Linked DNA regions of Neodiprion lecontei. The protein of the gene in region 1 interacts with the protein of each later gene in a pairwise test. Links are inferred from orthologs where the notes say so. Each region holds a gene or a part of one and is shown on either strand. Other genes may lie near its edges.

Region 1 (6,007 bases):
TGCCATTGTCAAGAGTTTTCTCAATGTATCCGAGGTTGCCTTCGGTCTCGTTTAGCTCAGACAATGAGTATGAAATTAATGAAGAATAGGAACATATAGACTTACACTGCTATCGCTCGGTGGTTTATCCTTGTCGTGAAGCTTTTTGTCGGGTGTCAGAACGCTGCTTATTAGGTCGGCGATGTTGGTGCCGTCAAGAGGCACGGCCATATCCCTCGCGAGGCTCATTTCTTCTGTTGGCAAGACTGCTCCATCAGCATACCGTACCAATTTTTCAATATATCAATCTTGAGCGATTCTCACAGTTAAGTTTATGGTTTAACACAAGATGAAACCCAAACGACTCAAGCATAGAATATAATGGCAATTTACAATTTACTGACAAACTATTGACTAGATTTCATAGTGGAGAAGTCTTTACAAAAGAAAGAACTAACATGATTTACGATCGCAACTTGACCAGTTTCCCCAAATCACGCAAGTCAATATTCATGCAGCCCAAATTCAATTATTACCATTATTCATTCCAAATCTGAAACTCGACTGTTTACTGTTTTACGAAAATACTATAAAATTTGTGAAATTGTAAACCCGAGAAATGGCCAAAATTCAAATGAATAAATTTAAAAAAAAAATATAATCAAAATTGAATTACGATAAACACATTTATTAGCATGATCTTCTACAGCTGGACTGGAAATTAATTTGTTTAAATGCATGCTTTGAAGGAAGGAAATTGTGTTTTGCGAGAGAACAGTCAAGAATAAAAATTTACACAAATAAAATAATGTGTCACGTCAAGCTAGTAAAGTACATTTATCACACATCCTAAGCTTACAATCTTTATGAAAAGACATTGTTACGTACGATTGATGAGGTTACACTCACGGTCAACGTGTGCGAAGGCGCAAAATACGCCGCGAGGACAATAACCAGCCTGCTGCACGTCGTTGCACTTTGTAGACTTGTATATTTCCGGATGAAACTGCTGCTCTGTTCGCGTGTGGCAATAAGTGCAGGCATCGCCTTGCTCGCAGTTACCAGGCTCACCCCATTCTTCCCCATGTTTAACATTTGGACACGGTGTGGATCTTTGAAGGAATTTGATATTGAAAAACATCATTTTGATACCAAGGGTGATACCAAGGGTGATACCTAATCGTATATGAATGCACAGAATAATTATAAAAATTCACCTGTACTTGTACTTCCTAGGGCTGCGCCTTTTGTCTTTGCTGTTATGATACTGCGGGCAGGCATAGCCTTGCCTGCAGAGCCGAGGCGGTCGTTTGCACGGCTCAGTCTTGTAATTTCCTAGTACATAATTGGTGTCCTGCCATTTGGGGTCTTCGTTCATGAGATTCCTTTCTTTATCCAGTATGTTTGGCCCATTCGTCGACGAGTTTGGATCTGAATCTGGGTTCTCAAGGGCCTGAATCTCCTTGATGTCATATACCGGCGGTCGCAGATCATGATTTCCATGTGCAAACGCGCAGTGTGGACCATTTTTTACGCAGAAACCCCTTGAATCGGTGTCGTGAACGCACATGCAGGTTTTGTAGTAGCGGAGGTGATACCGTCTCTCCGTATCCCCCGCAGTACGGTGCAGGAACGGACATCTGGACCAGGCAGAAATTTAAAACCCAATCATTCTACTTTGCCTTTGCGTTCCCTACTATTGAAAAAGGCATCGATTGGCTGATTCTAATTAACAGAAATTAAGAACCAATGAACGTATCAAATTTAAAATTTATCCCCCGAATGACGATTCGAACTAAAATATAGTTTTGTGAAATTACATAGTCCCGAGTCAAAATTCTATGATGCCATATTCTGGATAATTTGTGACATTGACGATGACGTAGAACCTGCATCCTTAAATACGATTAAAGGAATGCTGTGTATATTTTACAGAACGTTTTGATAATCCTTCATATTCGCTAAAAATAACTGATCTATTTTTTAACAGTACGAGATGTAAAACACTCAATATTATTCATTCTAAGGGGATTAAATTCTTTTTAACCAATATCACCTATAGTTTGGCCAACTACAAGAAATTTAAGCAAGTTTTTAGACAGTCTGTTAAACTTGAGGCAAACGGCAAGCCACAATAATGATTAGAGCCTAGACAACAACTCTGTACAGAATGAACCTGATGCTTTTTGACCATTTATCCATTGGGTCATCAGCTCTCATTTGCTGACGGTGTAATCATTGAAGGAAATAGAAGTTTAGAATGCATTATTTGTAACGCGGACATAACAAAGATAATATGAAATTGGTAACGCAGGTAAGCAGGTCACTTTGGTTCTGCAAATTAACCAGTAAACAACAATGACTAGTGAAGTGGTCAAATTGTAGAACGATCGTCGGTATACAGCAGGGATAACCAACTTGATCGGACCCGAGATCTATCGTTTACTGTCCAGACTCTGTGCGATCTACCAATCTCAAATCTTTACCGCAGAATTACAAGAAATATTTGTTTGACAGTTATGTATTTTTCTTTGCTTTGTCGCGATCGACTGGCCTGGTAGCCAGGATCGATCGATCGGTTGGCCATCCCTGGTATACAGTATGGATTTATTATTGGTGAACAAACAACTGTGTAGGATAAATGACAATAATATGAAAGAGTACAAGGCAGTGTTGGTTCTTTGTTGTTAGGATAAGTAGGAGAAAATCAATACCGACAGAGTTCCTTTGTGCAAAATCAGCTCCTGGCGTGTGTGAAAATAATGCGAAAATCGTGTGGAGAGCCGCGACGGCGTGAGAAATTGGCGGGTAGCGCGGTCCGAATGATGTAAGAAAATAATGTTCGAGCTTCCAAGGGTGGTTAAATATGGGCGACGATAAGAAAAAAAAGCGGGTGGGTGTTGGACGGAGGGTAAAGGGGGATGGGGATGGGGAGGGGAGATAAGGAAGTACTCACTCGTCTCCGTCGGGACAAAGGCCGGTTGTCTCATCGTACTTGGTGCAGTAATTGTCGGCGCTGTAATTGAAGGTCCGATCACGTTTTTTTACGGGCCTTCGTCGCCGCTGGTTCATAAAGTGCCAGTTGAAGCAGGTGAAGGGCCTGTGCTGGGTGCATTTGCGTTGTATAAAGAGGGGGCATTGTTCCACGCGGAATTCCTTCAAATATCTGGAATGCGAATCCACAGAACTACACATTATTCGTTGTACACTGGACCGTGAGCACTGCACCACTGTCTGTCGTCACACTCGGGGGCCCCGCCAGGCACTACTTACGTGTAATGATTCGCCTTTTCTGTTTGAGCTGTCAACAAAGGTTTTGATTCGGACTTCATCTTGCGAAACGATCTATCGAGCATCCCAGGGGCGCAGGGTACGCGTCGCGGTCCGCCAATCCCTGGCCGTCCCGTGCGTCACGTGACCCCCGAATAATCACGAGTTTCAAGGTCATTGGTGTTTTGGTACCGAACGTAAACACGCACTCATGCCGATGCGCTTTACCCCCCGCCTAACACACTTCTTTTATTGTCAAACGATAGGATGCTTTTATTACCGTTACTCGGTGATCGAATTCTATCGCCTATAAACGCGATGAAAATGTCTCCTCCTCAACGTTGCTTGTAGAATCTTGCGTAGTTCTAGCAACTATCCTGACTCGCACTGCAGTTCGATGCTGTCGCGTCTGTCGCTATTGCGCTTGTTCATATGCGTAATTTCTTTGTGTTGCGGCGTCACTGGTTCAACACGCACTAGTTGTCCGATATTGTTTCTACTGGGTCGCCGCTGATATCTCACGGTATGGATTTCAGCCGGAGATTCTTTCGTCACTTTTATCCTTTCATCGCTTTGTCTACGAATAGATCGGTCGATAATTTTTATTTTATTGTTATTTTTGTATCCAATTTTTATCTTTCACACATACCAGCCCGAGTAATGATTTTATAATGTTGCACACTTTTCGCCACGCATTTACGAGCGAGATAAAACGTTAGATGGCAGCACCTCGCGCTTGTGTTACTTTATCATATGGACTAACTATACAACGTTCGGTCGTGTTTCAAAATTTCGGGCACTGTCCGTGAACTATATTCGTTCCTTTTCCCATGGCTGAGTTACAAAATGAACTGCGGTAGCGCTGAAAATTCATGGACCTAATTCTCTAGAAGTGAAATAGAGATCACCAACAATCCAAGTAGAGCGGGTGAAACACAGAACCACCGATCATCGTCAGAACTCCCAGCAAATGGTTGAATGCACCGTACATAATATACATGGCAATACTGCACTTAATAGTGGCAGATCTGAACGAAAAATCTAGTAACAAAATCTGATATTGTATACCGTGTATACCCTTGATGAATTAACAATTGGCTAGGGGTTGGCAAGCGTGTTTGAAAAGAAATAAATAAGCAAAGCGACCATGAAGTGACAAATAAAAGCTGAAGAAACACAATGCTGAGGTTCTAGGCGGTGAAAATCAAGTGTAACGTCGTCGATCGGTGGACAAGCCTCAATAACAGTAATACCGGCGTCTGTATAACGGATAAAAAATTTTCCACGGCCGAAGGCATGCAGACCTCGGTAATCCGAGGCTTTATGGGCTGACATTTCGGCCTCTCGACTCTCGCGACTCTGAACTCAATCCGCCGTCGAGCGGAGCGTTTTACCATCAACCCAGTTCTCCCAGTGCCTATAAAATCGGATAATAAACAACTGTCCGTGCGAACAAGTGCGACGTATCCTGCGTGAAGTAAAGCAATTTCAACCTCCATTCTCGCATCAGGTGATTCCTCCCCCGCGTCCCAGCCGAACAATAACACTCTGCTGGCCGAAGGTGAAGCCAAAACATGCTTCTGGTCGGGGACACGCTGCTGCCTTGATCAGTGCACGTAATACGTAGTTCCTACATACTTTTTTTAAAAATTTATTCTCACTTCGCATATCACGAGTTTTTCAGTTTTGTGCTTTTCTCGCGCGTGTGTGTGCTCGAGTGTGGATATTGGATATTCTTATTTTTATTTCTTTTCATCTTTTCGCTCCTGTGTTTTTTTGGGTATTTTTTTTTTCCAATCTTTCTTGACGGACAAGAGATCTAAAGAATATCTTGAGTTAATCATTGGATGTTGTATCGGTGGAATTGTATCCTTAATCATGGATGGATTGAAAAACTAGACTGGCCATGCTGCTCAGTGGTGAAAAAGTATCAACAGCCGTTTGACGTCGTCGTCGCTCGTCTCCGATAATACGAAAATGAAAACGGAGAAAAAATCGAGCGAAGCAACGTGCGTTACGACCACCGTCGTCAAGGAGGAACCTGATACAGATTCGGTTAAAATAAAGGAGGAGTCCGGGGTAGCAGGAACTGGCAATAATGAGAACACCATCAGGGAGGAATCGACGGAATGCCAAAGGGATTCAAACATCGATCCCAATCACACGGATGGCACTATGTCTCAAGAAAATCAAAATAGTACTAATAATCAATCCATACTTGGCTCTGTAAAACAGGAAAATGAACAGAACCATCCTGGCGATGATCTGCAAAATGGTGCGCACTCGGTATCTTGGTTAATTTTTCACCTTGGGCATAGATTAACGATTACTATTTATTATTTTACCCAGACTGCGCAGCAAGCGTTGGACTCTCGTCTGACGGAATTCAACCCCTAGTGAGCAATGTGCTTGCCAAGCAAATGGGCACTGGCACAGGCGGAGGGGATGCTCAGTACATGCAACAGCAGAGCCAGATATTTGTATTTTCTACTATGCTGGCAAATAAAGGCGCAGAAGCGGTTTTGCAGGGACAATTCCCATCGATAATTGCTTATCATTGCGCACAGCCAGGCACCAAGAAGTATCTGGAGGTACGTAGGCAGGATCGTCACAAATCTGGAAAGTCAGGAAAAGTCAGGGTATTTTATTTAAATTTTGAAATATAATATACCTTTAAGTCATTAATTGCAGAAATTGCTCCCTTTTATCGTAACTTGTTAACTTTTTTATTCTTCCAATGATTCAATAATTTTCTATC
Region 2 (6,158 bases), on another chromosome or scaffold:
TAACAGACCCAACGGCTATAAATCATTTCTTCACGTTCTCAGTCATCGAGTGATGATTCATCATCGGATATTACCAAATTTTTCGCAATTACTGCATCATCTATCTAATACTACGATAAGGAGGCTGAAATATTTCGCAACGACGATAAATCTTGTTTACGTTGATCAATTTGTTAATTGTGTAGGTATTCGAGGTTTACAGCGGGAAGCGAATATTGAAAAAACGACCAAAAAGTAGTAAGGAAAGATGATTAATTTTCTGAATTGGCATCTCAAAGTTTTTCAAAGACATTTCGACATTATTATTTAATTTTTTGCATCATTATGGATAATGCGGATAATATTTTGGAAAATTCGGTTACATACCCGTATTCCGGAATTTGAAAATCCGTTGAAATTCCACGAGGCTCAGGTTAGCGTCGTTGATGTAAACTAACATTACCAATTTGCAGCTTCGAAATAACCGAAGATGTTGAGTTTACAATATTTAACTTTGTTAATCCTGTTTTAACGGTGCCTGATGAGTTTTTTTTTTTTTTAAACGCATCGCTGCAAACTACGTTAGAAAGTTGAGACCTGATAAAATTCCTGTAGTAAAACGAAACGATAAAAACAGACGGTACAAAAACACATAACAATCAGTGAGAGAATAATGATAATTAAATATTCAGACAAAGCTGAGGTTATTAACGTTATTGTAACGATTAGAGTTTCGAAGAAAAAAAATCGTTAACTCGCAATTTTAAAAATATCCAAAGTCCAGTAAATCATGGTAAGAATTGTAAATATATTATTTCGAAAACTTGACAACTTCGAGAGTGAGTGTAAAATTTCGAAACGGCGATTTGTCACGAGACTGAAGTTAGCAAGGTTAACGTAACGAAATGTCAAGGGAGAAAAAAAAATCTTACCGTGCAATTTCTCAATAACTTTCAAGGAGTCATGTATTAAAAATATTTTTGAGCACGTTTGCTTTGTCATAGTTCACTAAATTTCAGATAATCCTAAATGTACAAAATAACGCGATTTTTCTTAAACACGCACCGTTACCGTAACCTGACCAACTTCATCCGCATGATTATATATCCTTACTTTTCTACTTACCGCCAACCTCGGCCTCTTATTACCGTAATAACGATCAATCGTCATAGGCATAATAAACAAAACACACTCATAACTTGAAAACCGAACTTCACACGGATGTCGTATTCTAAAAATTGCGGAATAACAAACTTTTCTCTCGCGTCTCGGTCGAGTCAGCGTTGCCAACTTCAGCCTCGTCAATCGCCGCCACTCGAAAGAAGAACCGATCGTAATGAAGTTGTTAACGTTATCGCAACGATTAACGAAATTCCGTCGTTTCGCGATTTTAGAATTGTCCGTAACACGACGAACCGTAATAAAACAAAAGACATTCGTACATCGACAATCCTAGTTCCGTAAATCTCTTGTTTAACGATCAAACGTGTTACCAACGCAAGCCTCGTAAGAAACGAGCAAAAATAAAATAGAGAAATAAAATTTTCTCTGCTCACCTAGCGCGATCGCTGAAGAAGTCGACCTTGTTCTTCTTCTTGGAACCGGACTGCGGCTGATGAAGAGGACTGACGGAGGGTTCGCTTGTAGCTGGGGGTGAACTGGACCCGGTACTCGAGGACAGCGATCCGGCCCTTCCGCGACTCGACTCGATCATCTGTACCTCGGAGGACCTCGTAACGGGCCCACCGTGAGGCCCCGGGTGTCCGGCCGATATGGCGAGCGAGGGCCTTGTGTTCTGCCTGTTGCGACGCTTCTTCTTCTTCGCCTCGGCATCCTCGGGCCGCTGCCCGACGGCTGATGCCAATCCGGGTGGCATCCAGTCGAGGTCCTTTTTTAGATGACCCCTGCCGCATCGGCAGCCGCAGGCCTTGAACGCCAGGTCGTAACCCTTCTTGGTCCAGAGGTTTTGATGCCGCTGTCTTTCGGACCAGCTCCTCGCGCGTCCGCAGCCCTTAAGGTAGGTCAGTACCGTCTGTTCCCACGCCTCGAAGCACTCTCTATGCATAAACTGACCCACCGGACAGCTCTCGTTGTTGCAGGTGACCTTCACCGCCTCCTGAAGCAGGCCCATTCGGATCGGTGAATCGCCTCTCAGACACTCGCCGCTCGGTGCGCAGCATCGTGTCGTTGTTACGGCTGTTCCGTTGTTGTTGTTGTTGTTGTTGTTGTTGTGCTGCTGATGACCACCGTTTCCGTTGGCCACCATGTCCGCAAGCTCGTTTCCACCGCCCTCGAGCAACCCTCCGTGACCGTTGGCGTGTCGTCTAGGCGCCATTACTAATTTCCCGCACTTTAAGGGTAACAAAAGGCCTAACCGCGTTGACTCGTTAGGTGGCGGAGCTACGATTTTCGATTGTTTATTCGACGTTCCGGAACGGCCGTTCCTCGGTCCACAGACAGCGGCGTGTTTTCATCCGAAATCGAGAACAGGGGAAACGACGAAGATTCGGACACGTGGTATGATTTTTTGTTATTATTCTCTTACTTTTATCGCGCAATAATTTTGCAATGTACGTTCTCACACACTTTTCTCGCGCCGCGAAATATTTCCGAGAGCCGACAAACAAGCGAACAATACGCGTTGGATAGAAGTTAACGGAGCCAGCGATGCTCTTCTTTTCAATCTCTATTCACCCCTTGGCTACGGAAAACCGACCGCGACCTCGTCGCAGCTGCAGCGGCACTCCGAAGTTGTCATAATAACAACGCTTACGTCCGCCTTCTGTATCGGCGATTCGTCTCCGTTTCTTTGTATCTCGTCAATTTTCGCCGATACGTTCAAGCAACACAAACACAGTGAGTAACACACAAAAAAACAAAAAAATAAAAAACAACCAAACAAACACAAACAAACACGAAAACCGAGAACAGTTTCACTCCGTCGGATATACGGATACGGATAGACACGCCGTCGATCGTCAAAGTTCCGTGTCACATCGTAGAAATATCTCGAGGTTTCGTGCGACAAGATCGTTGTTGCATTATCGATGAACGGTATAAAGCTGTTAAGAGTAGTTGAGAATAATAATGGGAAGCCGTATACACCGGTTAGGTTTTCGTTTTACATGTGAAAAATAACGAAAGTAAAGTAATCGCGTTTCAAATAATCGGCCGTGTGACCGCAGCTGCAAAACGCCCTCGCACTCTCCGTCTCTCTCCGTTTCACCGTCTCGCTTTCTTTTCGCGATACGTAGGTATAACAACAGAGCGCCCAACGCTTCTTACTTATTATCGTTAGTCAGTATCGGACGCAGAGCCCAGCTCGGGGCAGGGTGGGATTTGTTATTATTAACACGCGAAACACAGCGAGAGGCGGCGTCGCAATTTAGTCTCGATCAGTTCCAAGCAGGATTGTTACTGCACCAGTCAGGCAGTCACTACTGAGCCAGCCGGCGTGCCAAGCTTCCTCGCTGCGTGCCCGGCACACCGGCCGAGCGCGAAAGTGAGACCCGATTGGATGAAAGCGAAAGCGTGTGGTGGGGGTCACGGCTAGCGGGCCAATCGATGACCGCCGTTGGCGCCGCGCGTCCCGCCGTCGCAACGCAACCCAACGTAACGCAACGCCGGCCGGCTAGCCGAGCTTTCCCGCTGCCGCATGCACTCGTCGTCGAGTGTGCGTGTTTGCGTGTGTGCGCCCTCCCTTCCCTTCCCTTCCCTTCCCTTGCCTTCCCTTCCCTTCCCTCGGCGCCCTTCTCCCTGGTATACCATCGAGAAAGATCTCCGTCCAACACCCGTGGAGAGGTTGATGGTATGTACCAGTCGGCGCGTACGGTCGCCTTGTGTACGTGTACAGGTGCTGCGGGGCAATTAAATTCTCATTCCAAACGATTCGCTAGCCAAGTTTGTAACTCCTTTAAGAGGATCCCCCCCCCCCTTGATTGATTTCGATGTGATGCAGGACGTACGTACAATTCGAATATCTATATACGCGTGTCTCGAAGGCGACAAAACTGCTCAACAGGCACCTTCCGTTAAACAACAAAAGAGGAACGCTCCAAACGCCATTTTCCTTGACGCGGAAACAAAGAATTGGCTTGAATCGTAATAAATTGCATTAGTCAATTCGTAGACATCATGCCGTTGTTTCTTTATTCTTGCGTCAAACGAAAATCTGCCGAAGTACTTTTGTCCAGCGTTGCCTGTTGAGCCGTTTTGCGCGTTTGACAAACGTCGACTTGGACGTTCGGAGATACGTGCGTCAACGTCGAAATCGACTCAGGTCAGGGAATTCTGAAATTCTGGGTTAATCAAGGAAATATCCGGGGGGTGGCGAGGGGGGGGGGGGGGGGGCGAAAAGTTAGGGAATAGTTTACTGTATATTTTCGTTCGTAAAAATACATCGCAAAATTTTTTTGTTCCTTAGATAAATTAGATCAAATACTTGCAAAATTGTTTATTCAAATTGGTCGGGAAAAACGGTAATATTTTCGTCTGGAAAATCTGTAAAATTCCGGGAATTTCGGGACGGAGGTTTTAGTGGCCATCCTAATTTCAACGCTCGCGTCTATCTACGCGGATGTATCCGATCCAACTAAGCACAGTGTAATTATTATATCTTATAGATAAGAATGCTCCTTTCTGCATCATTTTTGAAGATTCTGATGTACTTATTGCGTCTAGATACACACGCTGCACGTGCCTCTACGCCTCTGCTGTCCTGCCTTAGTACCACGCTACTACCGCTTGACCTTGACCCCATGTTCTATTTACACGACAGCTGGGACCCGCACGGAGATACGACGGAGGTAAGATACACTTTTATTTACCTACGTTGTTGTACGGTGTAGTATATTTTGTCGGTGGAAATCTGAGGCACCTTGCTGATTTTATTTTATTCGCGAACTTCCGGAGCTCGAGCTTGCATTCTTGAATTCCTTGAATTATCGCTCGATTCGTGTTTCAAGATCGTTGTCTCGACGGGGTGCCCCGCTTGATTTCGACCATTTGACCTACGTATCGCGAAATATCGAAGTCCACGTATTTCAGACGCGAAAAAGGGCTGACAGCCCCGTTCGACACACTATTCTGAACAATACCGCTTCAACGGATTTTCATTTGACCCAGAAATAAAGAAATGGCATAAATTCTACGAATTTAGTATTGCGATTTCGTAGAATTCGTGTTATTTCTTTATTTCAGAGTCAAATGAAAATCCGTTGAAGTGTTTTTGTTCGGAATTGCGTATAGAATCGGGCTATTAAGTCCCTTTTTAGTTTAGATTCGTGAACTTTGATATTTACGGATGTATAAGTGTACATATGCATACATTAAGGAGATGCCATAATTAGACCTCACCGAATTCGTTGAATTTCTTCTACTTTCGCTGTTATAAGATGCTACGTATGCATTTTTGTGGAAAAACACGCGGATACATTTTGCTTATACGCAAAATTGAAGAAGCGGCATCGAAAAATAAGAAATCGCGATCGGGCTTTCGTAATAAAATTTCACCGAATTTCAGACGACGCTGAATTTTCGAAACAACGATTTTTGCAAAAACCTAACTTCTAGATATCAACCCTTAAGCCTGAAATGCTTTTTTCGCCACCCTTATTTCGGAAACCTGCGTCATTTTGTCCGGTACGTTTTTTACCAAATTTATCTGTTGTGAAAAATCTAAAAAAACTCTTATACCATCTTCAAACTTTCCACTAGAATCCTATGAAAAAAAATAGTTCGAAGAACAATCATAACTATCGAACGAAATGTGTCGAAATAAAAAATCAAATGGGAAATCGAGGCTAAAAGATTGAGGAATAAAAATACTCATAAGCCGTTTCGAAAAATTTCAACCGGATGCTTTAAGTTTCTACCGTGAAAAATCGTTATTTTACCGTACCGATACACCACACCTTTTATTATCCTCGTCGGAATAATTAAACCTTATTCAGGGAATACATAAAAATGAAACGTTTATTAAGATATATGTTATAACTGGACTTGGGGGAAAAAGATAATAAAATAAATATATGTATACATAGGTTGACGTACAAATTAAAATTTTTTTTTTTTTCTTTTATTCCATTATTAACTTTTTTCTAGGGTGGTGAATATTTCTCGACTTATTCGAACAATTCGAATAGGCGCCGAAAAGAAAATTACCCAGGTTTCGGGATTAA

What was found. The genes of interacting proteins can lie anywhere in the genome.
Region 2: the proteins of putative E3 ubiquitin-protein ligase UNKL (region 1) and headcase protein interact in binary tests that used the Drosophila melanogaster proteins (3 or more experiments, as listed by UniProt). The link is inferred for Neodiprion lecontei from reciprocal best matches to the Drosophila melanogaster genes unk and heca.

Annotation. Positions count from the first base shown.
Region 1 is NC_060264.1:35,194,490-35,200,496, reverse strand, and holds the start of putative E3 ubiquitin-protein ligase UNKL, read right to left. Parts: upstream 3,883-6,007; 5' UTR 3,336-3,882; coding exon 3,253-3,335; intron 3,167-3,252; coding exon 2,936-3,166; intron 1,620-2,935; coding exon 1,197-1,619; intron 1,092-1,196; coding exon 868-1,091; intron 255-867; coding exon of another isoform or gene 246-254; coding exon 106-245; intron 1-105. Other genes in the region: protein BCL9 homolog, read left to right, coding at 5,227-5,524, 5,599-5,840. UniProt on the Drosophila melanogaster protein: Essential for late larval/early pupal development.
Region 2 is NC_060263.1:4,791,828-4,797,985, forward strand, and holds the start of headcase protein, read right to left. Parts: upstream 3,432-6,158; 5' UTR 2,315-3,431; coding exon 1,536-2,314; intron 1-1,535. UniProt on the Drosophila melanogaster protein: Required for imaginal cell differentiation, may be involved in hormonal responsiveness during metamorphosis. Involved in an inhibitory signaling mechanism to determine the number of cells that will form unicellular sprouts in the trachea.